2 linked regions of the Lepisosteus oculatus genome follow. The protein of the gene in region 1 interacts with the protein of each later gene in a pairwise test. Links are inferred from orthologs where the notes say so. Each region holds a gene or a part of one and is shown in the gene's direction. Other genes may lie near its edges.

Region 1 (15,918 bases):
CCTCGTTCTCCTTGCCTGGGCTGACCTGGACGACCTTAGATGTTGAACTGCGCAGCGAGGAAAGCCATGGTGCCAGCTGTCGAGAGACACAGAGACCCAGCACAGCTCGCCCCAAAGTGCAGTGCAGCATGCCTGTGATGCTGGACAGCACCATCTCACAAATCAAAGGCGTCATGCAATATTCAGGAGCCTGGAGGGGGGAATGGAAAGGAAAGTTAGTGTTCTGTATGGTTCGTTGCTATTTATTTATAACACTAAAACATTCAAATGGACTTACAACTGCTCTGTAACAAAGCTGGGGATAATGCAGATTTTATTTAACTTTCACTGATGTTGCTTTTTTGGATCATGCAAATTCATAATTATAATGCAATAATGTTAATGCTTAGAAGAATAAAGCCCTTCTTAAACAAGGCTTGCAGGCACCGTTCAAATATCTTAATCACAGATTAGGAAATATGTAGGTGAGTTTTAGAATATGAAAGGGCAGAAGTTAGAGGTCTTAATACATTACTTGTAAACTAGTGTGTGAAGTGCTGTCTCCGAGACACACACAACACACTAAACAATCTTTCCCCTCACAGCCCTGGCTGGGACTGAAGAACTGTTCATTGTGAGGCACATTAGCACATCCCTGCAGCTTGAATTTACTGTTTACCTTGATGGAAATCTTGTTTGCTCTGCTTAAATATTTAACCAACCGATTTGCCTAACATATTCGGGGAGGTCTAATGGTAATCTTGAGAAGCACAACAAAAGACTTCAGCCTCCCTGATTCACTGCCCTAAATCTCTATATAGTTCCCATTCTATATATTCAAGCTCAGAGCAAGTGAATCACTGCCATGTTTTATCAGTGCCTAGATAGAAACAAACACAGGTATTATATATAAACACATTTTTGAGAATATGGGCTAACCGTTGTGACAATAAGATGTAGAAATTCAATAAACAAGCCTCCATTTTTAATTACACTATGTGTCACATTAGGTCACTAATGCACTAATAGCACAATACTATGTATCCTAAAAAATAGAAGTATGAATGTTCACAGGGATAGAATAATTCCATCAGCCCGTTTTGGGATTTTGCTGGTGATTAAAAATAAACTGCCCTTATTACCTGGCACTCAGAGGCAGCAGTGTAAAGCTCTGGCTAGGATTAGATTTATAGATGGAAGGTTGCAGGTTCAGTTCTGGGGATAAGCATGGCTGTCGTACCCTTGCGCAAGGTACAATAACTTACTAATTACAAATAAATTAGTCGATATTTTTCCTAGAGTGTGATCAAACTCCTGTATATTACGCGAAGAAACATGACAAAGCACATACTAGCTCGCCTGCACACAAATCTGTATCTTACACAGTAGGTACCGTATGTGTTATCAGCTAAAGCAGGGGGCTGTACTATTCCTGCTTAGCCTGCATTTAGTATCTATACTTTACCACTGGGCCTTGGAGTCATTGCTGAACCAGGTGTGTGCACCAGCAGACAGCAAGGCTTGTATTTCCCAGCTAGAGCTGCCCTGGCCAATGGTGTACTGAGGAATTAGACAATCCCCCCCACAATCCCTCCTGTCCTGGATTCACACTGAGCTCGGGTATGCATTTTCTGCAGAGATGATGGGTGATGACAGGTAAGCCAGCAGCAGTCTAAAAAAAATAAAATAAAACTTTAAAAAAATAAAACTTTCATTGGGCATATAAGATCTGAACAAATTGAAAAAAACACTATTCTCATCCTCTCAAAATTCCTGGGGTAAAATACAGACAACTTCCGCTGACAGGCTGAAGGGACTTTTATAGTTTTTTTATCAGAAACGTTAGCAAGGGCAACTGATACCAGTATCGAAAAGCCTCAACGTCTACCCGGATGTCTTAGGAATAAGCCAGAGGTCAGAGGTCACAAGTAGCAGCTACGTGGAAGAGCATTTAAAAACAGGAGTCACGTCGTTACCCAAAGGCTGCGGGAGTGCGGTTATACATTCTTAATAAACATTTTCCAAATACAGAACAATAAAATCAAAGCTGATATTACCAAAAACACTACATTCGTTATTTTTACAAATGACAAAAACATTATCTATCTGTAATCTTAATTATCTGAATGGAATTCAGATGCTCTAAATGTAACATTAATTTAACAGATAAAGGTAATTTCTTCTTGTCATGAAAATTGATCTTGGAACGATAGGCTCATCTGATGTTTAAATACCCCCCAAAACATTATTAGCAGTAACAGATGTGTTTTCATGCCTGATAATCGTTAGAAGTTTAATATAAACAACATGTTATAATTGAGAATGAGAATCCAGCACTCTGGAACAAAGGTTAAGGTCGTGAGCAATGGGATTTCGCGTAAAGCAGACCTACGATCCAAACACCTAAAGAATATGTAAGTGTAGTACTTTTAAAGGTAATAATTGTGAACAAGACACACCAGCAAAGCGTATAATTGATGATACCAATGGCCGTGACGTCAGAGACTTTCATCGCCTCATGCGGAAGCAGATTCGCGCTGCAGTCTCATAATTTGTCGTGTTTCATATTCAATTATCTTATAACACTGAACCGTTTATTCTAGGAAGTGTAAAATCAAATGCAAATAAAATATACTGGAAAACGTGCCAATTCATATAAGAAACACGTCACTAACACAAGCCTTTTGGGTAAAGTACTGCCGCAGCCTGCACTGCCACTAGTGTACAGTGCATCTTTTTTCACCGGGTCCTTTGTTTTTAATTAATATATTAACCCACAAACAGGAAAATAACTCGATATTACTATTGTCCCAAGCAAGGCTAACTGGTATGCAAGGTTATACTGAGTTACACATTTCAATTCTGTTGCTACGCAACAAAACACTTGCTTTCATTGAAAAGCACACCATTCTAGTCAACCTCTTCCCTTACCCTTTTCACAGGTCATTTCCGCTGTTTGTAATAGAACTAGCACGGCAAGAGAAGTGTCCTGCAACAGCGGTTATTTCTGATTGAACGCATTTGCTGGCGCCCTCTGCAGTCCTGAAGGGATCGCATTCCCGCTACGGAGTCGCAATGACCTGTGACCACTAGATGGCATCAACTGGTCGCCCAGACACGGGGCAGAAATGGCGCATGTTAATAATTGCTTTAATCATATTATCCTTCATATAAATATTGAGTCACGTATTCTAGCACACATGAAGTGTTGCAATTACATTTAGAAAATGAACCAGAAGAGACGGAGTGCATGTCCCCACACCATGTTTTTCAAAGATCGAAAAACGTTTTTTTTTGTTCCGTAACACGAGGAAGGAGAAGGAAAATTGGCCTCACAATAGGGGGAGATTTGTAGCAGTGCGAAAAAGGAAATGTTTCTGTCAGTATGCCATCGAAATGCTGCCCAGTAGAAGTGTACTTTTAAATATTTCCAATGCCTCACATGCACACATTTTTCATTGTTCTTTCTCCACGGACAGCAGTAATTTAAGTTTAATTACTGTTATTGTAGTACAGGTCTTCTGTCGAAGGTGACTAAGGATTGCTCGGCCACAGACCTCCCCTAAACCATAAACAACACTGGTAATGTAGCTGCTATTGTCATGTTGGACGGTGGGCTCCATTTAACTCGCTGCTGTCTGTTTCCCCAGGGCCAGAAGGAACAGAACCCTTCGCTGTCACCCCAAACGTCACTGCAGGGCAGAGCTAAGACATACAGTCCTCATTGTTCACAGACATCTTTCTTCGCACAGAATGGCATTTTTAAAGACTAAGCAAACACTGGTTGTTATGTACCTCCAGAACAATTAATTAAATGCCACAGCACCGTCACACAGAGTCAAATGACACAACCTGTTTTTGGTGGCACAGAGAGGTGACATGTCTGCCTGCAAATCTTCATTAGAGTGTATGGATTACTGTCATATCAAGCTATAGTACAGTTCCACAACAAACCAAGGAAAATAAGACTAACCCATTTAGAAAAATCTCAGGAATAGTATTAACCACAGTCACTTCACCATGTCACATTCATGAGCTAGATACTGGCTCAGGGGTCTATCAGACTTCATCCAAGGTGTGATCTTGCCTTGCGGCCTATGCTGTCTGAAATGAAGCTCCTTGCTCACTGCACCCCTGTCAGGCTAAAGAGGGGATCCTCCTGAAAGGCATAACCAGTTAAGACTTTGGTGGATGCTGCACATTGGTGGTGGTGGAGGGGAGACCCCATTACCTGTAAAGTGCTTTGAGTGGAGTGTCCAGAAAACCGCTATATAAGTATAAGCAATTATTAATATTAATTATTATTATTAATTAAGACACCTGTCTAAACCCCCATTTCTTCATCTCCAGGACCTACAACCTGATGACAACAGGAAATCTGTTGACAACATTCTATCCACATTTTAAGACAAGACTGTGCTATACAACCAAATCATTTTGTTCTGTTATTTTATATTCATTATACAATTCATTATTCATTACAGAGAGGTAGTTGATTAAGAAAGGTATAATTTACTTTAGTATTTTCAATGGCAGGGTATTATTTACTTTACAGATCAGTCATATTGTAATTTTGGAATGTATTTATTATTCACCTGAATAGATTCCATTTATTTTTTGACACCATCAAATGCATGGATACAACTGTGAATGTTAGACACTCTCATGTTTCGGCACTAACAGCCCTCTGCTGTTTATTTATTCTCCTTCTCTGGTTTCATCATGACATCCAGCTGTCACTCTTGAATTCCATTAGCTGTCCCTGCATTTAAGATTAGACTATGCCAACAATACCCATTTTATATTGGCTGCTTCTCTTAATTACTGCTTTGCTTATTGATTCATTTGCAGTGGCCACTTGATCCGTTGTGATCCTGAGCCTCAGCTGGCAGGCTCAGGACACAGGGCAGGCCCACACCCTGGATGGGATACCAGTCTATCACAGGGCACACTCGCATACAAGGGGCAGTTTAGAGAATCCAATTAACCTGATTGGCATGTCTTTCGTGACCTGAGAAAACCCACTCAGTTTCCCCAAGACTCAATGTTAACTACCATTCCACTCTTCCTCCTTTGTGTATCATTTGTTGCATTTGATACAGCCTCAGTTTATTTATAACTAAAATCTGAGTGTCATTTTTCAGTCTGTCGCTACAAATTGCACTGCAGAGAATGGTCAATATGGCCCAGAAGATCATCGGCTGCGGTCTCACCGAGATAAAACAGCTCTATGAGGAGCGCTGCCGTGGTAGAATTCTGGCCATCACAGAGGACAGTCACCACCCCGGGCATGAGCTCTTCACCCCACTGCCCTCAGGCAAGAGATATAAGAGCATACGGACACTTACCACTAGATTCTTCAATAGCTTCTATCCACAAGCAGTGAGACTGGCGAACGCATTTAGCCATCCCCCTCGGACCACACCTACACCATCACCATCTACCTCTTTATGATTTCTTATCTATTGCACATCTCCAGTCATTGTTTTCACGTCTGTATTGTTTACATTCAAACTGTCTACATGTTTACTTGCACATTGTCTATTGTTTGTTTGTACATTGTCTTGATGCACTGTTTGCACTTTGTTTTGTTTTTTACACTTGTTTTACAATCGAGAGACTTTCTGTAAGTAAGAATTCCATTGTACCAGTACCGGTTACATATGGCAATAAAGTTCAAGTTCAAGTTCAAAGTTCAAGATATGTTATATTGCCTTTTCTTCTGCTGTGTTTAGTAGGAATGTCTGATCGGCTTCCAGAGAGATTTACAGATGAGCAGTTTTCATGAAAAAGGTGAGATTGAGAAGATCATCCATTCCTTGATCACTCGAAGAAGTATGTCAGGTTCCAACAGGGGTACAGTAGCCCAAATCCCAAATGGCTGAGAAACTCCTTTACCAAAAGTTTCAATTGAATGACTGCTACAGAACTTTTCTCATTGAAAATCTCTCAGTAACTTGAGAGATTGACAGAAATTCTAGCCCAAGGTGCTTTTTCATCTTGACTAATAAACAAATTAAACAACTGTTTTTTTATTTCTGTTCAGAGAGCTGTGTCTTCTGAAGCAGCTGCTACCGGATGTAGATCAATATCACTTACAGATTCACCATCAGACTGGAAGGATGCTAAACAGCAGTGAGCTGGGAACCTGATACAGCCATTCCTTTCTCATGTATTGTATTTAAAACAGTTTGCTTTCTCATACAGTGCTCAAAGGCCATTCTCTGAGATGAAGTGTGACTGGGGACAGTGGAACCTGACATTCATTGCTTCTCAGACAGAACAGTCAGTGGAGTTAGAGCCCTCTTCTCTGCATCAGGTCTGCGGCAGAACTTTTGTTCATTCAGATTGTTCTTGTATATAAGGAGTCATTAGTCCTATGTCTTCTTTTCAGGGGATTTACAGGTTCAGATCAAAATATTTAAGTGCAATATTTTTCCAAAGCGTTAAATCTAATTGAATGCAGCATCGACTATGTTTCAGGATCATATTACTTTTCCTCTTATTGAATAAATTCCTTAAGCATGTATACTTATCACTAAAGCACCTTAAAACGCATGTACAGTACTACAAATACAGGGCATGACCAAAAATCCTCGATTAGCAAGAATAACCCTCCTACAAAACTGAAACTGAGTTTGCCACAATTTGTGTACTACATTTTACATTGTGATACAAGTACTTTTCCATTGTGGCTTCATTTAAAAAAAAGACACACTTGGTACTGTGGAGCAAATTTTATGTCAATTAGACATGTTCCTCTTATAAGTTCATTATGGCCTCAGACCTACAGTATGTGCTTAAGTTACGGTGGCTGACACAGTACTCCTGTCACGTCAATTATTAATGCCCTAAACTTTCTGATGGTCTGGAGTCCCAGAGCTGTAGCCTCACAGCCGCAGAGCCCTCAGAAAGAAGAGAGACGCATCTTGCTACAGACACCTAAAAATGTCCAAGCGAAGATGGGTGGAATTAAAGATCAGCCAGACTATCAGCTGTACAACCCCAGTGGTCCGGAGACAGAGGCCACCTTCTCCTGCAGGTACGTAGTCTATTTATTGTATAAACCTCAGGAATTGTGAAATGTCCCCCCAGTGCATTTAAACAAAGGTCGCATCAGGTGTTTAGCTTTGCATTTTATTGTCTTAGCTTTTTTGTCCATATTGCTTGGTGATTGCTTGGAGGGTATGATACTAAGTGTTTGGCTACATTAGAATCGCACAAGATATAAAAAAGTATTGAAAACTGAGGTTGCAATACTAATACAATTAGACGTTTTAACGGAGTTGAGGGCCTTATCGAGACAGTAATTTGATCCATCAGCAGTCTGCTTGCCAGCCACAGGTGTCTATTCATTTAAAATGTGCTTCCAAGAATTATGTTTTTTTTAATGAATTATCGGTTCATTGAAGTTATAATATTGCAACATTGCCCAACATCACCATACAAGAATACTGCATTTCATTGTACAGCACAGTATTGCATTGCATTACATCTTTACTCCCAATAAATCATATAACACATTAGTATAATAGGAAAAATAATTAAATGTTGTTACTGAAAATACTTCATTTCGTATTTAACTTTATTTACAGTAAATAACCACCAAATCAAACAAAGAATAATAAAGAGCTGTCGTTCACAGAAATATTGATTAGACCATATTTAGAGCAAATTTATACATCTTAGAAGTGATACCAAAGTTTAACCGACTCGGAAGCCTGCTCACCGAAATATAGCCGAAGCACATACCGCACGCCCAAGTGAATGATCTCAACTTTTAATTTTCATCTTTTTACAAAACGCAAATTCCTTACCTGCTGCCACCTTAAACTAAACCCCTCCTCGAGTTATTTTTTTTTTTTCCTGGAGGCGTGAATCGCAAGCAGGCACCTTCAGGAACGTCATCACCAGCGGTCCCTGTGTTTACGTGGTATTGAATATGGCGGCCGAGGCGAGCCAGTAACGGAGAGTCCTCTACACGTTTTTTGCACAGTGTATTTGCTAGGAGCTGCAGAAGAAGCCTTACATGCCAGTACGTGGTCAGTTCGTTAGACCGGCTCTGACCCTTTTAACTGACACTTTGTGTGAAGCCTTAATCTCCTCTTCCTGGGCCCAGGAACGACCGTAATGGAAGACGAAGAGAGACAGAAGAAGCTGGAGGCCGGCAAAGCGAAGGTATGACATCTGAGGGAATGCGCTATTGTGAGGACAGTGTGCTCAGAAATGATTTCGTGTCGTTAGGCCGGCTAGTTGTTTTCAGTTGTAACACTGCGCAGTGTAACCGGCAGTAATTTAGTAACTATTTCATTGATCTACTGTAGCTACAGCTCAGGCCCCGTATTGCTGCAGTGTATCTGTCAGCTGTCCTTAACACTGCAACTCCGACTGACAGCTTCACTTTTGCCTTGGTTGTCTTTGTTGTAGTGAAGCTTTGAAAAGTGGCGTGTAAGTTTCACGTACGCTTGCTGTCGGGGAAAACGCGGATTGTGTGTCGGACTGATCATGACATGACTGGACTGTCTTGGATCGGTTTAAAAAAAAAAGACAATCCCGAGATTCCTGCTGAACAAGATTTGTGAGAAGCATGCCTTCACATCGTTGAACTTGTCATCGCTGTAAGATACGGCACTGAATGGCTCTACATCACATTGGTTACTGCGTTTCTTCAATCAGCAGGATTCAGTGAGTTAGCACATTATAATTAAGACAAAGTGCTTAGGTTTTCACTGTTTTTTTAACGCTCATTTATATTTTTCTATAAATAATTACGTTGACCTATCAATGATAAAATAGTGTAATAATGTATATCCGCACTGTTGATGTTACTGTTCATTTTATTTTTATATGTACAGTAGTTTGTAATACAAGTTGCTGCACCCGAAACACACTGTAGCTGAAATCTTGTTATTAAATGAAATAAGCAAAACGTTCCAGAAATCAGAAGTCTGCACAGGTGAGAATATATCGGCCCATTTTATTAACAGTGCTCTTGAAAAGGCTGGGGTTTCATGCAACAGTGAAATGTTTCTGCCCAAGTTCATATGTGTGTGTGAGGGTGATGACAAAGATACAGCAGTTTAAAAATAGACCAGACCCTTATCCCGTGGCACCTAAAAATACAGTATGAGCAGGGCAGAAGAGTGCAAGTGTTACGTAGGCTCATTCTGGTCATATTATCTCTTCAATGGGATCACTTTTAGTTTCTGTGGGCATGGCCTTTGCAAACTCATAATTGTTGTCTCCTTTACAATTTTGTCTGACGAATGAGAATACAGTAGGTTTTAGGTCCTCCCCCTGAATTTATTTCCTTTGTAGTAAAGGTTCTTATCAGTAGTAGGAGACTAACATTTTCACTCATTTATTAAAAGCCTCACCCGGATGCACTCTGTTCACCTTGTAAGATGAAATTCAGTGTGAAATCATCTGATATATGTTGTGTCCGAGAGCCTAAATCCTTGTGAAAACCAATTTGCTTCTCCCGATGTTGTGTTAGTGAGTCGCTGACAGCAGTGTCTCGTCAGGAGTATGAACCCACAACCTTCCAGTTATGCTGCGCTCTGCCCCGCAGTGAAACAGCCATGCATCAGCAGGGGAACATCCTTCTGCTAGGTTTACAGTGTTAATGTGTCCAGAGTGTCACTGGACTTTATTGGTGATTTTACTATATGCTGTTAGTTCCCAGCTAACGCATAGGGTTGTTAATACTTTAGTGCTATGCAAGCAGCTTTTATATTAGGCTTGACGATTTTGGGTATCTTTTGGAAACATGTTCTGTTCAAGACAAAAGACATTGCTGATAATTTGGGTTTATTATTAAAACCAAAAGCCTTTTTGGGTAGTACTTTGATATTCAGGAAGTGATTATATACAGTAAATGACATTTTGGCTTCCTGACATAGTGCCTACTGTATACCCAAAATCATGTATAACTAGAGCATCTCCCTAAGACCCCACTGTTCCCCTCCCTGCAACCAATTGCAGGTGTATTTGTATGTGTATGTATGTAGCTTAAGGTATTATGAAAACAGTAATACAGTCAATACATTACTGTACAGTATACAAAATAGATCAAATAAAATTTGATATTTAAATGCAGGGAACATAGCGGACGAAAAGTCTTCTGCCTCTCATTGCAAGAATTGAAGCTTCATTCTTGCCATACTTACGCCCCAAACAGGTCACCATCGTCCCACCCCTAAACTTGTTCAAAATCTCAATTTGCTGGAGCCTCAGTATCTACTTGGCCACGCCACACCACACCACACCACACATGTCACACCAGATGTGAATTTGCTAAATTCCCTGCATTATTTGATTTTCCATTCATTTTTTTCATCTCCCACCACGTAAATACGAATTCGGGTAAAAATATTTAGCATAAAAGGCGAGTCTGTTGTATTTTTGTTTCGAAGCAGCCATATCACTCTGCAACTTAAAACTGACAGCCCCACTGAAGCTCAGCAGTGTGAGCCTGGTCAGTACCTGGATGGGAGACCTCCTGGAAAAAACTAAGGTTGCTGCTGGAAGAGGTGTTAGTGGAGCCAGCAGGGGGCGCTCACCCTGCGGTCCATGTGGGTCCTTATGCCCCAGTATAGTGACAGGGGACACTATACTGTTAACAGGCGCTGTCCTTCAGATGAGACGTAAAACCGAGGTCCTGACTCTCTTTGGTCATTAAAAATCCCAGGGTGTTTCTTGAAAAGGGTAGGGGTGTAACCCCTGTGTCCTGGCCAAATTTCCCATTGGCCCTTCCCAATCATGGCCTCCCAATAATCCCCAGCTATGAATTAGCTCCATTACTCTGCTCTCCTCCCCACTGATAGCTGATGTGTGGGGAGCGTTCTGGTGCACTATGGCTGCCGTCGCATCATCCAGGTGGGGCTGCACACTGGTGGTGGCGGAGGGGGGTCCCCATTACCTGTAAAGCGCTTTGAGTGGAGTGTCCAGAAAAGAGCTATATAAGTGTAAGCAATTATTATTATGATTATAAAGTCCTGAATGGTTTTTCCAGTTTCCCAAAACCTTCAGGCAGGTCTAACTGATATATACAGTAAGCTTATCTTGAACACAAGAGAGCCCTGTATGTTGCAGTGTGAAGTGGGCCATCCCATGTCTATTTGGGAGAACAAGGGTATTGAGTGTTCAAGGCAGGGAACAGATTCATTCCACTCTCGGAGTTGTGAGCTCGATCCGCAGGTCTGAGCCTGAAGTGTGCTTGACTACCGACATCATCTCCTAAATGTTTGGTGTCTCTTAAAAAGAACAATGTACAGTATGTGGTGTGTGCACATACTGTAGGCTCCATTAAAACTCAGGTGTGAGTCACCTAAGGTGCGATGACTGGATTTGAATAAATTGAACGCCACTGTAGGCCAAGAATTAGAGTGACCCTAAAGTTAGTTAACTGCTTTATGAAATGTTTTGGGCCTGCTGTAACTAAGCAGATCGAATTAAAGCTGCATGCTTTTGCAGAGAGTTTAGAGTGTTATTTAGTCAATGAACCGAGCACGTGGAACACAGCGATGTTAGTGCATGACTGGGTGTATTATTCAATACATGAGATTTTATGCCACTCCCTTCCTTGTGAGATTAAGGCACGTACTGTATTCACTGCTCAGTGCTTTACAGGCAGAAGCAGATTCTTTCAACCAGGATGTCCTGGGTTTTCCATGAAGCCTTGCTCTTGTGTGCTAAGAAGAGAAGACATGCTGAAGAAACTGAATCGTATTCTGTTCTGTATACAAAAATAAATGCAGTAGAGCAGGAAAAGATCAGAGAGCTTGCAATTCAGTAAAAACTAGGAAATAAGTTATTAGGTTTCATTTCCCATGGAATATTGTTGTTAAAATAGTATAACATTAAAATATGTATTTATTTTTAATTTCAGTGTTCATATCTTTAACTACGTGAAAGATATATTGCCTAAAATAAAATTTCTCCACATTTTCCTTGCTTAGTTTTCAGAACTATGGCACAGCAATGTCTTTATACTTATTTTAATTTCTTATACTGTAAAAGCGCCAATAAATTGTTACAATGATTTGGAAAACAGGCTGCTATGATTACATACTCATCAGTGTGTTATTTTTGTATCATGCTGTTTACTGACAAATATAGGCAATTTTGCAAGCTGTTAAGCCCAAACTCACAGAAAAAACCTTCAGATCTTTACAATTCCAGATGCAGTGTAATGCATAGTGGTTTAGATTTGCATGATGTAAAAATACATTGCCCATGGCTTTTTATAACTGAATATTGAATATTGTACTCTGCCTTTAATCAGTGATTATTAATTCAGTCATTCTGCAGGCAAATGGGTGTTTTTCCTGTGTGTGTCACTAGGTTTTAGGTCTTGTCTGCTTGCTAAGCAGTAGTGATATTGTAAATTATTATTATCAGAGACAAAGTCTGTGTGGCTACATGCATTAACAATGCAGATGAAGACCTTTTCGGTGGGGAGAGGCCCTGTACATCTACCAAATTGTGAATATCCATAGGATAAACGTGGGCGTCTTTTGTTTTTGATATCTTCAGAAAGAGAGTGTTCCCCTGTGGTGAGATGCTGAATCACCTATTGCGTATGTATTCTGTAAGTAGCCGCTGTGCATTCTGGGTTTGTTGCAGACTGTCTAAAGAGAGCTGCCTGCACAGCCGGTCAGCTTTAGATTTGGAAATAAAATGTTGCTCCTTGGTGAGCACAGCCTTACAAAAAGTCACACAAATGCAGTGGATTTCAGGAAAAGACCATCAACGAATGTAGTGGTTGATAAAACAATATATAACGGCGCATAAAGACTCAATAATAGTCAAAAGAAACAGTGGCATCATGTTTTCCAGCACCATCCAGTAAATCTCACATTTCTCTCAGAGCATAATAATGGCATTCTGTTGGTCTGTTGAGAAGTTGTATGAACCATGTAATGGGCATTTTAAGGGTTCGATTGAATTACAAGGCAAATACGTAATGAATTTGTAGTGAAGAAGTATGTCACGAGGGTTGTCACCTTCAACACAGCCTTAGTGGTTGTGGGAGTATGGAACAAGCTACTCAGCCATGTTGTTGGAGATGACACACTGACCACCTTCAAAAAACCACGAAGACTGAGATCATGAACTGTTTTAAAAATTGCCACTTGAGTACCTTAGTCTTTTAAATAAATGCCCAGACCATTAAGAAATAATAAACAGTGTAATCTGGCCTTTTCCACTTGTGATTTATACTCCTTATTTTATTGATTCATGTAATCATTCATAATCTTTGATATTGTTGTTTCATTCTTCAACTGTTGTATTAAATGAGATTTCTTTGAACAATTCTGTTGCAGTAACGGGATAAACAAGATAAGGGGGTAGTTCATGTAAATAATGTCAGTCAGGGTTTTACCTTTTTACAATAGGGTGCTTGGTGGTATGCTCTCAGACATAACAATGTGATTCCATATATATTTGCTTATTTTAAGGAACAGTTGCTATTGTAGCATCCATTGTCTTAACTGAACCCACGCTTGATCCTACTGTTAAAGGCTGACCCTGAGTGAATCAGTTTACTGTTTTCCCTTGGAATTACTTTTATCACTGACTGTGAGGTCATTCATCTTTCCCCACAAACAGCCCTTGGTCTTGCGGTACAGTTTGGGTAGCCTTGCCAGATTTTGTGAGGTAGTTTGTTCCATGTAGTTTAAAGAGTCCTAACATTGCACTGTTGGCAGAAGTTACTTTGGACATTCAGGAAACTTACGATTTCAGGATTATACAATGTCATCCATGCATTTTCTTTCTAAAGCGTCAGATATTTGTTTTTTATAGCCCCTACTTATGATTGTTTTATGAATAATGTAGGCCCTTGTGCTGTACATTTTAACTCCTTTGCTAAGTTATTCACTGCAGTGTGTTCATTCTGTTTCAAATTTAATGTCTCCTTCTCTGTATGGCTATTTTTTGGGGAACAAGTGTATTTTTTGTAATGTAAATCTTTACTTTTATGTTTGGGCAGCAATCTGTTTTGTAAGTTGTTTAGTCGTGAAGAACATGTATTTTTATCTATTTAAAGTGTGAAAGGAGATAATTTATTAATTAACCAATATCTAGCCCATGTATGGTGAAAACGGAAAAGTGAGGTATTTTAAGTGAGAAGCCATTAAACCCATTTTGCATATTCTGTTGCAAGTAACTTGTTGATCTGAGAATCTTATCCAGCCTTGAAGGATCCCAGGCCCTTTTGTGCATTGACATGCACAAATCTTTGTATAAAGAATCTCATTTCCTTTTTCCAGTCCTAAAATACACGTGCTTGGTGACTTCTTCACATTTAATCTGGAAGGAATTCCCTGGGGTGTCTTTGTCAGTGGGGCAGCACGGTGCTGCATTGGTGACCACTGCTGCCTCCCAGCACTCCCAGCCTTTGTTCAGTTCCTGGAGGGCTGTGTGTGTGGAGTTTGTATATTCTCCCCATTTTCCACTGGGGGCTCCAGTTTCCTCCCACAGTCCAAAGACAAGCTGTGTGTGTGTTTGTGTCTGTGTGTGCCCTGTGATATACTGGCCTCCTGTCCAAGGTGTATCCTGCCTTGCGCCTGTTGCTTACCAATATCGGTTCAAGCTCTCCTGCCACCCTGGATTGCATAAAGTGGTTTGAAAATGGATGGATCGGTGGACTTGTATCTTGTATCCTGCAGGATATTAAAAACTGAAACTGAAACTTTTTTTTAAGGCCTGCAATGTGTCTTCCATGTGGAGGTCTTTTCATGTCTCTTTTTAAAATCAAGAATACAATTTGAGACCGATCAAGAAATGCCACGACCTCAGTGACAGCTGTTTAAGGTGTTTATTAAAAGTAAATCATCTAGTTTTTTTAAAAAGATGGTTAATCCCTTCTGCAGCTTGTCCTCGCCATAACTACTTTTTAAACAAAGTACACTATGTACATTACCAGTCAAACGTTTGAGTGCACCTGCTTGAAACCAGGTTATTCATGATTATCTGTGCTTAAAACTGTATAAACTCTATAAACACTTAATCATTTAATTACGTGATATGTGTACCTATAATCTTAAATGAACTGCATTGAAAATTTTAATTATTCATTTTCAATAAAATGAACACCCAAAGCAAGCAGATTTCAGTCTGAAGCCCAGGTTAGTAAAAAGTCAGAAATGTGTATAACATGGTGTTAGAACACTAAAAGAAGTTTAAAATAATCTTTGTTAGATGTTCTCACAGTTAACTTGCATGTTACCTCATTTACCTTTTGTCACCAATTATTGATAAACAGTTGAGGGTCCACGATGACTATAAAAATAGGGAGCATGGGCAAAAGTTTTAATTCCTGAAGGAACATGGCAAAAATTACTCGGCAAGCAAGGAAAAAAGACAGTCTATAATTACTTTATAATGAAGGTCAATCTTTAAGACAAATTGCTAGAACTTTGCAAGTGTCAGTATCTGCTGTGGCCAAGACTATCAAATGATATGAAGAAATTGGCACTCATAAGGACCGAAGAAGGTCAGGTAGGCTTAAGGTGACCTCAGAATTAGAGAATACGTTCATCAGTGTCACAGGTCTGCGAAACTGGCAACTAACTGCCCCTGAAATACAAGCTGAGCTCAATGCAACTAGAAGTACAGATGCTTCAACATCAACTGAGGAGGTAATTCATTAATTCATTACTTAAATAGTGTTATTTTATAGAATATTATGATTGGAAATTGAATTTTGTCATATCCAAAACATGTAAATGTTTTCTTTAAGGCGGCACATTTTTACACAAAGAGTTGTGGGAGTCTGGAATCAGCCTTCCAACCATGTTGTTGAAGCAGGTACCTTGGCTTCTCCTTGGGAAAGGCTGAATGAGACACTCAGATCAATTAGCAACTAGGAATCAAATTAGCTGGATGGGCCAGAGACCCTCCTCTTGTTTCTCTGGCTGTGTTCTTGTTTTC
Region 2 (15,470 bases), on another chromosome or scaffold:
GACGGCGAGGAGTGTGTGAGTGTGTGTGCTCTCTCTGTCAGGGCAGAGAGGAGTGTGTGAGTGTGTGTTCTCTCTGTCAGGACGGCGAGGAGTGTGAGTGTGTGTGTGCGCTCTGTCAGGGCAGCGAGGGGGATGTGAGTGTGTGTGTGTGTGCGCTCTGTCCTTCCTCAGTCTGCTCTGACAGGTTTATTTGGTTCTTCCTGTGTGTGCAGGCATACAGCACTTCCTGCTGACGTCACAGCGAGCTCGCTGGCACACAGCCAAGGGTGCTGGTGCTCCCTCGAACCCCTGTGGCCGTGCGTCCTTGGTGGCTCTGCAGCAGAGACGGACGCCTCCCTGGTCAGACAGGTTTTGGGAGTGTTTTCTCTCCCGGCTCAGCTTGTACGCCTGTGTCTGGGAGCAACAAGGAACTGTTTGGGGATGAGCTTGTTTATCAGCCCTGGGTCCGAGAGTGAGGGTCCAGGGTCCGGTCTATTCTTGGTTAGGTTGGACCTGGTCTGTCTCAGCACAGCTGGGTCTGGTCCTGGTCGGGCTGGTCCTGGTTGGACTGGACATGCTCTGCGGCTGGTCCTGGTTGGGCTGGACCTGCTCTGCGGCTGGTCCTGGTTGGGCTGGACCTGCTCTGCGGGCCTGTTCTGTCTCAGTACAGCTGGGTCTGGTCCTGATTGGGCTGGACCTGCTCTGCGGGCCTGTTCTGTCTCAGTACAGCTGGGTCTGGTCCTGATTGGGCTGGACCTGCTCTGCGGGCCTGTTGTCTCAGCACCGCTGGGTCTGGTCTCTGTACCAGAGCATGAGCATGTTGTAGGTCTTGCCCTCGTGTTAGTGGGCCAGGACTAGGGTTCGAGCTAGTGCCAGGATGAGGGAGAGGGGGAAGGCTGGCGCTGGGACAGGGGTCAGGGGTCAGGGGTCAGGGCTGGTCCTGGCCCGGGCTGGCAGAGAGCTTGGCACTGGGGCTGTCTGGATACCAGTATGGGGGAACCTCTGAGGAAATCTCCCCCCAAGGATGCCTGCCGACAGACGGAGGATGTGGGAGCGAGGTTTTCACCAAACCAGGAGGCGGCTTCTTTTAAATCCGAAGCGCCAGAGCTGTGTGTTCTCGCCCCGTGTGGAGTTTCGTGCGGAGGAGTATAGATCACTGAATGAAAATAGAATGAGGGTCAATGGAAAATCCCCGCAGAGATGGGAATACAGACGAGTGTGTGTGCGTTGTGCGTGCCCGTCCTCTCTCCCGGAGAGACAATAGCCCCATTCATCCTGATTCGCCGTGCTCCAGCCAGTCTCCAGGCCTTTCTCACACTGAGCAAGCCCCCCGCCGCCACCCCCCTCTCCATCTCCCCCAACTTTATCTCCTGTTGACATCTCGCCCGAGACAAAGCAGACACAAGCACTTCCAGAATTGTGGAGCACTCACTCGCCCAGAGGCCTGTGAACCATTAACATTGTGCCTGCGTGGATTAATATTGCCTGCTAAAGATGTAACAACATTGTGTTGGGGCTTGTCTCATTATGTCTTGTACTACTTTCTCTGTGTTGTTTTTGTTACACTGTGGCCCTCTAGATATCTGTTAGTGTCTGTGAGCGATGGTGTTTCAAAGCTGTGGCTTTATATCGGTGTGTGTGTGTGTGTGTTTGTGCTGCTGTACAGTAGCAGTGTGTGTGTGTGTGTTTGTGCTGCTGTACAGTAGCAGTGTGTGTGTGCTGCTGTACAGTAGCAGTGTGTGTGTGTGCTGCTGTACAGTAGCAGTGTGTGTGTGTGCTGCTGTACGATAGCAGTGTGTGTGTCTGTGTGTGTCTGTGTGTGCGTGCTGCTGTCCAGTAGCAGTGTGTGTCTGTGTGTGCGTGCTGCTGTCCAGTAGCAGTGTGTGTGTCTGTGTGTGTGTGTGCTGCTGTCCAGTAGCAGTGTGTGTGTGTGTGTGCTGCTGTCCAGTAGCAGTGTGTGTGTCTGTGTGTGTGTGTGCTGCTGTTCAGTAGCAGTGTGTGTGTCTGTGTGTGTGTGCTGCTGTCCAGTAGCAGTGTGTGTCTCTCTGTCCAGTACACAAGCCCGCCCTTGTGAGATCAGTGCTGTGTGATTCGGGAGAGCCGGGCCGGTCCTGCACACGGCCCCCTGACAGACTGCCTCTCCAGCCCTGCAGTGGCGTCTGCTCTCCCCCGTGTGCTCTGAGCGCAGTGGAGTCAGGCGGAGGGCCGGCCCGTGGGGCTGCTGCCTTTCTCAGGGCCCCGGCCTCCCAGATGAAGCACCATCTCGCGGGCCAGCTCTCCTCCACACACTGGGACTGGGACAGGGATCCGCCCCCAGCCCCCGGCACTGTGAGGGGCGGCCAGGGCAGCTGGCTCGAGGGCAGCGCCTGCGCGAGGGGAGTGTCGGGGTGTCAGAGTGCAGGCAGGATCCCATGACCATGTGTGTGTGAGAGAGTGAGTGTGTGTGTAGCGCTGTGAGTGTGTGTGTGAGAGTGAGTGTGTGTGTGAGAGTGAGTGTGTGTGAGAGAGTGAGCGTGTGTGTAGCGCTGTGAGTGTGTGTGAGAGAGTGAGCGTGTGTGTAGCGCTATGAGTGTGTGTGAGAGAGTGAGTGTGTGTGTAGCGCTATGAGTGTGTGAGAGAGTGAGTGTGTGTGAGAGAGTGAGCGTGTGTGTGTAGCGCTGTGAGTGTGTGTGTAGCGCTGTGAGTGTGTGTGTAGCGCTATGAGTGTGTGTGAGAGGGTGAATGTGTGTGTAGCGCTATGAGTGTGTGAGAGGGTGAGTGTGTGTGTGAGAGAGTGAGTGTGTGTGCAGCGCTATGTGTATGTGTGAGAGAGTGAGCGTGTGTGTAGTGCTGAGTGTGTGTGAAAGAGTGAGCGTGTGTGTAGCGCTATGAGTGTGTGTGTGAGAGAGTGAGTGTGTGTGTAGCGCTATGAGTGTGTGTGTGAGAGAGTGAGCGTGTGTGAGAGAGTGTATGTGAGAGGGTGAGTGTGTGTGTAGCGCTATGAGTGTGTAGCGCTATGAGCGTGTGTGTGAGAGTGAGCGTGTGAGAGAGTGTGTGTGTAGCGCTGAGTGTGTGTGAGAGAGTTAGCGTGTGTGTAGCGCTATGAGTGTGTGTGTGTATGAGAGAATGGGAGAATGAGTGTGTTTACGAGAGAGTGAGGGTGTGTAGTGCTATGAGTGTGTGTGAGATTCAGCGTGTGTGTACGAGAATGTGTAAGTGTGTGTTTCAGAACGGTGAGACAGGTCTAAAGCAACAACAATTAGACCATATCTATACTATTACTATTAACAGATCTAACAGATTACTATTGTGTTATTATTATGCTCTCTGTTCTTCAGGCTGTAACAGGTGATCACATACCTGGCTTCTGCTCTGTTGAGTTTCCTCTTCTAGCAGGACCGGGAGCTGTTCTGATTCTGGCAGGTGGGGGAATTCTGGGATCAGGTTTATTTTATGGAAGAATGTTTGTCTAATTTGTTTGTCACACTGCAGCAGAAAGTGGATCTCTGTCTCTGCTTATCCCCGCTGGCAGTAGGAGCACAGCCTGTCATCTCCGGACAGCCAGGTCTGCCTGTGTCCAGTTTCTGTGGCCAGGCTGTGGTCACTGAGCCTGTCCTCTCTGGACAATCAGGTCTGCCTGTGTCCAGTTACTATGGCCAGGCTGTGGTCACTGAGCCTGTCCTCTCTGGACAGCCATGTCTGCCTGTGTCCAGTTACTACGGCCAGGCTGTGGTCACTGAGCCTGTCCTCTCTGGACAGCCAGGTCTGCCTGTGTCCAGTTTCTGTGGCCAGGCTGTGGTCACTGAGCCTGTCCTCTCTGGACAATCAGGTCGGCCTGTGTCCAGTTACTATGGCTAGGCTGTGGTCACTGAGCCTGTCCTCTCTGGACATCCAGGTTTGTCTGTGTCCAGTTTCTGTGGGCAGGCTGTGGTCACTGAGCCTGTCCTCTCTGGACAGCCAGGTCTGCCTGTGTCCAGTTTCTATGGCCAGGCTGTGGTCACTGAGCCTGTCCTCTCTGGACAGCCTGGTCTGCCTGTGTCCAGTTTCTGTGGCCTGGCTGTGGTCACTGAGTCTGTCCTCTCTGGACAATCAGGTCTGCCTGTGTCCAGTTACTATGGCCAGGCTGTGGTCACTGAGCCTGTCCTCTCTGGACAGCCAGGTTTGCCTGTGTCCAGTTTCTGTGGCCAGGCTGTGGTCACTGAGCCTGTCCTCTCTGGACAATCAGGTCTGCCTGTGTCCAGTTACTATGGCCTGGCTGTGGTCACTGAGCCTGTCCTCTCCGGACAGCCAGGTCTGCCTGTGTCCAGTTACTATGGCCAGGCTGTGGTCACTGAGCCTGTCCTCTCTGGACAGCCAGGTTTGCCTGTGTCCAGTTTCTGTGGCCAGGCTGTGGTCACTGAGCCTGTCCTCTCTGGACAGCCAGGTCTGCCTGTGTCCAGTTTCTGTGGCCAGGCTGTGGTCACTGAGCCTGTCCTCTCTGGACAATCAGGTCTGCCTGTGTCCAGTTACTATGGCCAGGCTGTGGTCACTGAGCCTGTCCTCTCTGGACAGCCATGTCTGCCTGTGTCCAGTTACTACGGCCAGGCTGTGGTCACTGAGCCTGTCCTCTCTGGACAGCCAGGTCTGCCTGTGTCCAGTTTCTGTGGCCAGCCTAGTATCATTGAGCCTGTCCTCTCTGGACAGCCCAGCCAGGTCTGCCTGTGTCCAGTTTCTGTGGCCAGGCTGTGGTCACTGAGCCTGTCCTCTCTGGACAATCAGGTCGGCCTGTGTCCAGTTACTATGGCTAGGCTGTGGTCACTGAGCCTGTCCTCTCTGGACATCCAGGTTTGTCTGTGTCCAGTTTCTGTGGGCAGGCTGTGGTCACTGAGCCTGTCCTCTCTGGACAGCCAGGTCTGCCTGTGTCCAGTTTCTATGGCCAGGCTGTGGTCACTGAGCCTGTCCTCTCTGGACAGCCTGGTCTGCCTGTGTCCAGTTTCTGTGGCCTGGCTGTGGTCACTGAGTCTGTCCTCTCTGGACAATCAGGTCTGCCTGTGTCCAGTTACTATGGCCAGGCTGTGGTCACTGAGCCTGTCCTCTCTGGACAGCCAGGTTTGCCTGTGTCCAGTTTCTGTGGCCAGGCTGTGGTCACTGAGCCTGTCCTCTCTGGACAATCAGGTCTGCCTGTGTCCAGTTACTATGGCCTGGCTGTGGTCACTGAGCCTGTCCTCTCCGGACAGCCAGGTCTGCCTGTGTCCAGTTACTATGGCCAGGCTGTGGTCACTGAGCCTGTCCTCTCTGGACAGCCAGGTTTGCCTGTGTCCAGTTTCTGTGGCCAGGCTGTGGTCACTGAGCCTGTCCTCTCTGGACAGCCAGGTCTGCCTGTGTCCAGTTTCTATGGCCAGGCTGTGGTCACTGAGCCTGTCCTCTATGGACAGCCATGTCTGCCTGTGTCCAGTTACTACGGCCAGGCTGTGGTCACTGAGCCTGTCCTCTATGGACAATCAGGTCTGTCTGTGTCCAGTTTTTGTGGCCAGGCTGTAATTACTGACTCCATACTGGTCCACCACTCACAGCAGATCCCAGTGCTGACCAGGCCTGGTGTGTGTGTGTGAGAGAGAGAGGGAGGGCTCCAGCCTCGTCTGAGGCAGTCCACCAGGAGCAGAGGTGTGTGTGTGTGAGAGAGGGCTCCAGCCTCGTCTGAGCCAGTCCAGCGGGGCTGAGGGTGCTGCTGTCTCTTTAAGAGCGGCGATGAGCGATCAGTCCCCCGGCTGTGGCGTGCTCTGTGGCCTGAGAGAGAGAGGGAGGGAGCGAGCGTGGAGCCCCGAGCGGACGCGTGCCCACGTAGGGACACAGCAGGCATGGATGGGGATCACTGTGAGTGTAGGTACCCTGCCACGCCGACGGGCCGACCGGCCGGGGGGGGAGTGGGGTCGGCGGGCCAGGTGCTCTCGTTTCCTCCGGCCCGGCTCTCTCTGCTGCTCCCGGCGCGCGGCAGCAGGAAGTGCTCCGCTGTGCGCTGGCGGTTCCACTTCCGCAGAGGCTCGCAGACGACTCGGGGTCCTCTGCAGACGGGGGGACCGGACCCGGGTCTGGCCTTGGGGGGGCGTCGCTTGGGGGATGGGTGAGGGCAGCGGTGCCCGCTGACCTGCCTCGGCAGCGCTCTGTGGGCAGAGTTCCTCTCCTGCTGTTCGAGGACGGACGTCCCTTCTCTTCTGATCGCCTCATTGGTGAAGCCCCTCTGCCTGCCCTTCCTCTCTTGCTGCGGCACGCAGAGCAGCGCAGGAGCAGACAAGCTCCTGCAGCTCTCAGAATAGATCTCCTCGCTCTCCGAACTTTCTCTTCTGCAGTGTAGCAATCAGCATGTGGTCCGCTGTTGAAATGCTGGCCGACAGACACTGATGACTGGCAACGATATTAACTGCAACTGACAGGCTGATACAGCAGACTGACTGACTGACTGACACAGGGGCCTGCCGACTGTGACTGACTGACTCACTGACACAGGGGCCTGCCAACTGTGACTGACTGACTGACAGACACAGGGGCCTGCCGACTGTGACTGACTGACTCACTGACACAGGGGCCTGCCGACTGTGACTGACTGACTCACTGACACAGGGGCCTGCCGACTGTGACTGACTGACTGACTGACTGACTGACACAGAGGCCTGCCGACTGTGACTGACTGACTCACTGACTGACTCACTGACTGACTCACTGACTGACTGACTGACTGACACAGGGGCCTGCCGACTGTGACTGACTGACTGACTGACTGACTGACACAGGGGCCTGCCGACTGTGACTGACTGACTGACACAGGGGCCTGCCGACTGTGACTGACTGACTGACACAGGGGCCTGCCGACTGTGACTGACTGACTGACACAGGGGCCTGCCGACTGTGACTGACTGACTGACACAGGGGCCTGCCGACTGTGACTGACTGACTCACTGACACAGGGGCCTGCTGACAAACACAGGCAGGGGTTGACACAGGGACTGGCTGAGCTGACAAACAGCTTAAGCACAAGCGGTGCTCGAGCTTGGCGACGTCTCTCGGCCCATGCCCGTTCGCCAGCGGTGATGCATTGGAGCCCATTGATCTTGCGGCCTGTTCCCCGCGTCTCTGCTCCGGCTTCTCGTTCCTGCTCTGAAGCGCGTCGTGTTTCAGCGGCCAGTTCCCTCTTCTCGGTTCCCAGTTTCCCCTCCGGTCTGCGTGCGTCCGGATTGAGGAAGGGGGCGGAGAGCTGGGGCGCTAGCAGACGCGGGCGGCCCGCTCGGACCCTGCAGTGGTGGCCGGGAGGGGGAGGCAGCCATGGGGGCAAGAGAGCAAGAGAGATGCCGCCACACGTCCGTGCGCGTGGCGTATGGGCAGCAGGAGCGCCCCGGCTGAGCCGAGCCCCCCGCGTGCCGGTCTGACGTCTCCCCCCCCACCCCCACCACTGCGTTTTCAGAAGCGAGAGACGAGCGTAGCGTCTCGACCTCTCGCCTCCCGGAGCCAGTGACAGCAGGAAGGAAGCTGTGTGGCTGAGCTTGCAACACGTACCAGCTCAGTCACTCTCTCTCTCTGCCTGCCGTCCCTCCATCAGCAGTTAGAGAACAGGAAGTCCCCGGGTGGGGCTGGCGCAGATTATTTCTCTGTTTCTCGCGCGGCAGCTCGGGACCTTGTGCTCTTTATTTTGTTCCAAGTTTCGCCTGTTTTTTTTTGTCCTCCCTCCCCTGCACATCCAGTCCGGGTGGGAGCGGCCAGTGCCGCGTGCCGGCGAGGGAGGGGTGGGGGGAGGCCTGGGAGCGTGGGATTGTGGGACTCCAGCGATGTCCAGCGAGGAGGGCCCGGGGCCCGGGCCGCGGGCGGAGGAGAGCGCGGCCGACGCTCCGGAGATCGAGACCGCGGTAGGGCAGCTCGGCCCCGCGGCCGCCGGCGCTCCAGTGTCCGTTGGCTGACGTCGCGGTTTTCGGTTTCTCGCCGCCGTCCCTCTCGTTCTCTTGCTCCGCTCCTGTGTCGGCCACTCCCATCTCCCCGCCGGGGCCCCGTGTGTGTGTGTGTGGCCCCGCGTGGCCCCGGGCCTCAGCCTCCAGGGACGGGGCTGACCTGTGTGTGTGCGATGGGGGAGGGGAGAGGAGGGTGCTGTCAGGACGGCCAGGCGCAGGCTCGGCACCGCGCAGGGATCACTTCCATCCTAATCTGTTTATTTTTCTTTCTGATTCAATTGTCATCGATTTGAGAGGTCAACAGGCTTCAGTTTTCCAGAGAGTTGTCATCCTGAATGTGTCTCATTACTATGTGACTCATTAGTTGTTATATGAACTCGTACTTGTTAAACCCAGTGCTAATCTGCTGAGAGCAGGAATAGATAGCAGCCTCGCATGTCTCCTCCTGACATCACAGAGCACAGGCCGGACTGGACTGACTGTACTGTGAGCTGGATTAGTTACTAACTGAGATTATAATCAGACTCACACTGACCGAGCAGTCTGAGACTCTCCAGGGCAGGACTGGACTGACTGTACTGTGAGCTGGATTAGTTACTAACTGAGATTATAATCAGACTCACACTGACCGAGCAGTCTGAGACTCTCCAGGGCAGGACTGGACTGACTGTACTGTGAGCTGGATTAGTTACTAACTGAGATTATAATCAGACTCACACTGACCGAGCAGTCTGAGACTCTCCAGGGCTGGACTGGATTTACTGTACTGTGAGCTGGATTAGTTAATAACGAATTAACAGAGAGAACTCTCCTACTATCAGAGCATTTGGTGACAGGCTCGAGGGGATGTAGTCAAATCCCTTCCACACCCCCTACTTCCAATACATGTACTGTTTGGCATAGGGTTCTGTTTCCGCCCGGACTTCGCTGGCTCAGATCTGGGCTATCCTAAGGGTCCTGACACTTAGACAGATCTGCTGAGCGTGCTCTGAGGCAGCCTGTGAGTTTGCAGTGTACTTGCCACCTCTCTGTCTGCCCTCTGTGGTTCATGGAGCGACAGAGGAGCGGCATGCCTCTTCATGCTCACTTAGGAGGATCTGGAATGTTGTGAGAAATATCAGGAAAAACGGATTTCAGTTTTTCAGGCATCAGGTTACACAATAGACAAAGGCATTATTGCGGTGTGGTTCTGTACAGTTGCAATAAAATTATGTAAATGAAGGAGGAAACTTTCAGCGCAGAACCAAAGCTGTGCTGCGTGGAGAGAGAGGAGACCAGATCTTCTGTAGACATGGGCGTCTTGCGAGTCACATGACCAGTGACCTCACACTCACAGAGCTCCTCCTGATGGGCTGAACGCAAGACATGTTTCACAGCACAGAAGTCAGGTTTGCTCTAGGAAACATGGGAAGAGCAGATGGACACGCTGCCTTCTGGGTGTCCCCCAAAGCGGAGGTGTGGAAACAATAACTGGCGAAGTTTTTAGAGTTTCAGAAACGCTGTCCTGTCTGCTCTCGGAGGATGCAGAAGGCAGGGGCTTTCCAATCCAGCCTGGGTCAGAGAGAGTGCAGCGTCCGTCTCTATAAAGAAACAGAATCCTTTATTCTGCAGCAGTCTTGCAGCCCGGTGCTGCTCTCGGAAGGCCTATGGAGGAAACAGGAAGTGAGTCAGTCTGCGCTGCAGGCCGAGGGCTGATGGGCCCCTGCAGGGATTTAGACCAGACTGTCTTCTGTAGTTTGTGTTTGCGCTGTGTCTCTGGGAAGAGTGTTCAGGGGGCACAAGAGTGAACTGTAGACAGTGACGGAGCTCTGTCCCTGTCTTGCTCTTTCTCTGTTTCTGCCTTCCTCCCCCACAAGCCTTTTCTGTTCTGTCCCACAATCCCTCTCTCTGTGGACATGGCTGTCAGCTGCTTCCCTGCTTCTTTCCTCCTAGCTCTCTCCCTCCTCTCTCCCTCTCTTTACCCCTTTCTCCTCCTTCTCCCTCCCTCTCTTCTCCCTGTCCCTTTGTCTCCTGCATCTTTCCCTGCTTTCTCCCTCTCTCCAACCCTCTCCTCCCTCTCTCTTTCCCTGAGTGACATGTGGACAGAGGTGTGTTGTCAGTTTCGCAGCAGCTGAGCTCTCTTGCCTTCTCCCTCAGTCTCTCACAATACCTCCTCCTCTCCTGCTCTCTTACAGAGTGATCCAGCGGGCCTGTCGGTTCTGGAGCAGCTGGGCCTGGACCAGAATGCGGACTTCTCGGACACCAGCGTGCAGCAGCGCCTGGACGAGGAGCGGGAGCGAATTCGACGGGAGATCCGTCGGGAGCTGAAGATCAAGGAAGGGGCGGAGAATCTTCGGCGGGCCACCACGGACAAGCGCAACCTGCAGAGCGTGGACACCATGTTGAAGAGCTCCAACCGCCGCCTGGACGAGCTGCACGCACAGCTGCAGGAGCTGGACGCACACATCGTCGTCAAGGGCCCTGACGAGATCAGAGGTAACAGCAGCACTGCGCTGAGACAGAGCTCAGTGAGCGAGTGTGCCATCAGAGCTCCGCGACCGAGTGTGCCGTCAGAGCTCAGTGTCAGAGCTCTGTGACCAAATGTGCCGTCAGAGCTCAGTGTCAGAGCTCTGTGACCAAATGTGCCGTCAGAGCTCAGTGTCAGAGCTCTGTGACCGAGTGTGCCGTCAGAGCTCAGTGTCAGAGCTCTGTGACCAAGTGTGCCGTCAGAGCTCAGTGTCAGAGCTCTGTAACCAAGTGTGCCATCAGAGCTCAGTATCAGAGCTCTGTGACCGAGTGTGCCGTCAGAGCTCTGTGACCGAGTGTGCCGTCAGAGCTCTGTGACCGAGTGTGCCGTCAGAGCTCTGTGACCGAGTGTGCCGTCAGAGCTCAGTGTCAGAGCTCTGTGACCGAGTGTGCCGTCAGAGCTCGGTGTCAGAGCTCTGTGACCGAGTGTGCCGTCAGAACTCAGTGTCAGAGCTCTGTGACCGAGTGTGCCGTCAGAACTCAGTGTCAGAGCTCTGTGACCGAGTGTGCCGTCAGAACTCAGTGTCAGAGCTCTGTGACCGAGTGTGCCGTCAGAGCTCGGTGTCAGAGCTCTGTGACCGAGTGTGCCGTCAGAGCTCAGTGTCAGAGCTCTGTGACCGAGTGTGCCGTCAGAACTCAGTGTCAGAGCTCTGTGACCGAGTGTGCCGTCAGAGCTCGGTGTCAGAGCTCTGTGACCGAGTGTGCCGTCAGAGCTCAGTGTCAGAGCTCTGTGACCGAGTGTGCCGTCAGAGCTCGGTGTCAGAGCTCTGTGACCGAGTGTGCCGTCAGAGCTCTGTGACCGAGTGTGCCGTCGGAGCTCTGCGAGCGACGGTGCCATTGGAGCGCAGTGACGGAGCGTACCATGGGAGCGCAGTGACGGAGCGCAGTGTCAGAGCAAGGCACAGTGACAAAGTGGTATAGTGCAGTGACAAAGCAGGCAGCACAGTAACAGAGCACAGAGCACAGTGACAGTGAAGCCCTGGTGCACTGTCGGAACTGTGTAAGAGACAAGCTGTTTGTCTGTTCCCAGATGCCCCTCAGTCACCTGGTACAGTGAGCCGCTCCTCTGCCAACCAAGACCGCATCGCCGCTCTGGAGAAGCAGCTCAACATCGAGCTGAAGGTCAAGCAGGGGGCAGAAAACATGATTCACATGTACTCCAACGGCTCCACCAAGGTATGGCTCTCCAGCACTCTCTCTCTTTCCTTCCTGGTGCTCTCATGTAGACTCTGCCACCGTAGACTCGCTCTGCCCTTCTTTAGTTCAGACACATTTCAGGCCTTCGTGCTTCCCTCTCCCTCTCTCTGCTCCAGGACCGGAAGCTCCTCCAGACGGCACAGCAGATGCTGCAGGATAGCAAGACCAAGATCGACATCATCCGCATGCAGATCCGCAAGGCAGTGCAGGCCAACGAGCTGGACACCGAGGACAGCCAGGGTCAGTCTGTGTCTCTGTCTGTCTCTATCACTGTCTGATGAGCTGGACACTGAGGACAGCCAGGGTTAGTCTGTGTCACTGTCTGATGAGCTGGACACTGAGGACAGCCAGGGTCAGTCTGTGTCACTGTCTGTATCACTGTCTGATGAGCTGGACACCGAGGACAGCCAGGGTCAGTCTGTGTCTCTGTCTGTATCACTGTCCGATGAGCTGGACACTGAGGACAGCCAGGGTCAGTCTGTATCTCTGTCTGTATCACTGTCTGATGAGCTGGACACTGAGGACAGCCAGGGTCAGTCTGTGTCACTGTCTGATGAGCTGGACACTGAGGACAGCCAGGGTCAGTCTGTGTCTCTGTCTGTATCACTGTCTGATGAGCTGGACACCGAGGACAGCCAGGGTCAGTCTGTGTCTCTGTCTGTATCACTGTCTGATGAGCTGGACACTGAGGACAGCCAGGGTCAGTCTGTGTCTCTGTCTGTATCACTGTCTGATGAGCTGGACACTGAGGACAGCCAGGGTCAGTCTGTGTCTCTGTCTATATCACTGTCTGATGAGCTGGACACCGAGGACAGCCAGGGTCAGTCTGTGTCTCTGTCTGATGAGCTGAACACCGAGGACAGCCAGGGTCAGTCTGTGTCTCTGTCTGTCTCTATCACTGTCTGATGAGCTGGACACTGAGGACAGCCAGGGTCAGTCTGTGTCTCTGTCTGTATCACTGTCTGATGAGCTGGACACTGAGGACAGCCAGGGTCAGTCTGTGTCTCTGTCTGTATCACTGTCTGATGAGCTGGACACTGAGGACAGCCAGGGTCAGTCCAGTGTCGGTCTGATGAGCTGGAAACTGAGTCAGGGTCAGTCCACTGGGAAGCAGCTGAGGAAGCCGCGATGCCCACCGCTGTTGCTTTCCCTCCTGTATTCGCCCAGATACAGACAGGAAAAGAGCACAGGAGATTGATCAGTGCTGTCATCAAGAGAGCACTCACAGAGCCATCCCAGAGCCTTTTACGTGACCATTAGCCCTCATTAAGAGCTCGTTAAAGGGCCAAAGGGACCAGGGGTAGTGCTGATTTGCTGAGACATCCGTCTCCAGCACGCATCAGGAGTGATGCCCAGCTATCGACCGCCGGCCCAGGCCGCTGCCGGCCACTTAGATGGAGCTGCAAATCAATCCACCCCCCCCCCCAACAGAGGGGTCAGCAGAGCCCCCGGGGCCGCACAGGGTCGGGCCAGAGCGAGGCGAGACGCGAGCTGATGCCATGGTCTCCGCAGAGAGAGACGCCAGCCGTGCCGTCCCTGCGTGTCTGTGAGCTGCCTGTCCTGTCACAGCTCGGCTCGGGGAAACGCTTATTGATACGGCTGCTCCGATCCAGAGACATTAAGGAATCGCCAGAACGTCAACACAGAACAGCAGCAGCGGCAGCAACACCGGGCTCAATAACATACAGCCTTAGAAAAGCAAGCCGGCACCAGCAGTGTGAGAAGAGACAGAGCAGATCAGTGAGAGCAGTGATGTCGATGAGTTTAGTCAGAGGCAGCGGTGGAGTTCAGCAATCTGACAGCTCCTGTTCCCGCTCCTGTCGCTGTGGCCTGTGCTCCCAGGTTCTGGGGAGAGAGAGAGAGGGAGGGAGGGGAGGGAGGACCACAGCCTGGGGGGTCCGGGTTATTTCTGGATACTGTACTCGGAGCGTGGCAGTGTTTACTCACACTCGCCCCGGCGCACTGCTGTGTGTGCTGCGCTGAACCCGAGCTGTAAGACGCTGTCTGTGAGCCGCTGGGGCATCTGGCTGGCTGCTCCTGGCCTTTTTAGGAGAGGACGGCGTTCATCCCCAGACGCAGCCCTGACGCGCACACACACACACACACGAAGGGAGGCTGTCGCCAAGCTCTCCGGCAGGGTTGGCGAAGCACCATTTTCCAAGGAGGCTTTGCGTCCTTGTGCGGCTGGGTCACCCCGTCGGCTCTGTGCGGCCCCTCCCCACCTGCACTCTCCCCTCTTCACCGCGGCGCGGGCCTGACCCCCCTCTCCCTCACGCAGGGAAGCCTGACCTCTCGGCGGTGGAGCTGCGGATCGAGGAGCTGCGCCATCATTACCGCGTGGAGCACGCCGTGGTCGAGGGCGCCAAGAACGTGCAGAGGCTGCTGGGAGCGTGCAAGGCTCACGACAAGAAGGCCATGCTGGAGGTACAGCTGGGACCCACACCCGCTCGGTCCCGCGCAGACGCTGGGACCCACACCCGCTCGGTCCCGCGCAGACGCTGGGACCCACACCCGCTCGGTCCCGCGCAGACGCTGGGACCCACACCCGCTCGGTCCCGCGCAGACGCTGGGACCCACACCCGCTCGGTCCCGCGCAGACGCTGGGACCCACACCCGCTCGGTCCCGCGCAGACGCTGGGACCCACACCCGCTCGGTCCCGCGCAGACGCTGGGACCCACACCCGCACGGTCCCGCGCAGACGCTGGGACCCACACCCGCTCGGTCCCGCGCAGACGCTGGGACCCACACCCGCACGGTCCCGCGCAGACGCTGGGACCCACACCCGCACGGTCCCGCGCGGACGCTGGGACCCACACCCGCACGGTCCCGCGCGGACGCTGGGACCCACACCCGCACGGTCCCGCGCGGACGCTGGGACCCACACCCGCACGGTCCCGCGCGGACGCTCGGCCCGACTGATACCCTCTTGCGGGCCCAGTCCCGGCTCGGTCCTTCCCTGTCCCAGGCCTGCTCCAGCTCGGTTTTCCCCTTGTCCCATGCCCAGTCCTGGCTCGGTTCAGTGCTGAGCTTTCGACTGCTCTTTGCCAGGCCCAGACAAAGCTCAGCGAGTCTTCCCAGCGGATGGACCTCCTGCGCCATTCCCTGGAGCAGCGGCTGACCGAGCTGCCGGAGGATCATCCCAAGAGCTTCCTGATCAAGGAGGAGCTGGTACTGGACTCCTCCCCGGCCTTCAGCGCCCGGCAGTGCGGCCCCTACCTGCAGAACCAGTACAGCACACTGAGCAAGCCCTCACCCCTCACAGGTAACTGATGCCTGCTGTCGGTCACTCTGTCTCTCTGGGCTCAGGGACTCTGGAGGTGCTGGGTGGGGTGTCACTGTGTCTCTGGGTGGGGTGTCAGTGTGTCTCTCTGTGCGCAGGGACTCTGGAGGTGCTGGGTGAGGTGTCACTGTGTCTCTGGGTGGGGTGTCAGTGTCTCTGTGCGCAGGGACTCTGGAGGTGCTGGGTGGGGTGTCACTGTGTCTGTGGGTGGGGTGTCACTGTGTCTCTGGGTGGGGTGTCAGTGTGTCTCTCTGTGTGCAGGGACTCTGGAGGTGCTGGGTGGGGTGTCACTGTGTCTGTGGGTGGGGTGTCACTGTGTCTCTGGGTGGGGTGTCAGTGTGTCTCTCTGTGCGCAGGGACTCTGGAGGTGCAGGGTGAGGTGTCACTGTGTCTGTGGGTGGGGTGTCACTGTGTCTCTCTGTGCGCAGGGACTCTGGAGGTGCAGGGTGAGGTGTCACTGTGTCTCTGGGTGGGGTGTCACTGTGTCTCTCTGGGCTCAGGGACTCTGGAGGTGCTGGGTGGGGTGTCACTGTGTCTCTCTGGGCTCAGGGACTCTGGAGGTGCTGGGTGGGGTGTCACTGTGTCTCTCTGGGCTCAGGGACTCTGGAGGTGCTGG

Evidence for each region.
Region 2: the proteins of akap9 (region 1) and pkn1a interact in a two-hybrid assay, tested with the Homo sapiens proteins (2 studies listed by BioGRID). The link is inferred for Lepisosteus oculatus from reciprocal best matches to the Homo sapiens genes AKAP9 and PKN1.

What each region holds. Positions count from the first base shown.
Region 1 is NC_090705.1:5,248,920-5,264,837, reverse strand, and holds the start of akap9 (A-kinase anchor protein 9), read left to right. Parts: upstream 1-7,917; 5' UTR 7,918-8,109; coding exon 8,110-8,157; intron 8,158-15,918. Other genes in the region: transcription termination factor 1, mitochondrial, read right to left, coding at 1-175. UniProt on the Homo sapiens protein: Scaffolding protein that assembles several protein kinases and phosphatases on the centrosome and Golgi apparatus. Required to maintain the integrity of the Golgi apparatus. Required for microtubule nucleation at the cis-side of the Golgi apparatus.
Region 2 is NC_090706.1:13,878,822-13,894,291, reverse strand, and holds the start of pkn1a (serine/threonine-protein kinase N1), read left to right. Parts: upstream 1-8,927; 5' UTR 8,928-9,392; coding exon 9,393-9,533; intron 9,534-10,045; coding exon 10,046-10,346; intron 10,347-11,406; coding exon 11,407-11,552; intron 11,553-11,689; coding exon 11,690-11,813; intron 11,814-13,851; coding exon 13,852-13,997; intron 13,998-14,622; coding exon 14,623-14,836; intron 14,837-15,470. UniProt on the Homo sapiens protein: PKC-related serine/threonine-protein kinase involved in various processes such as regulation of the intermediate filaments of the actin cytoskeleton, cell migration, tumor cell invasion and transcription regulation.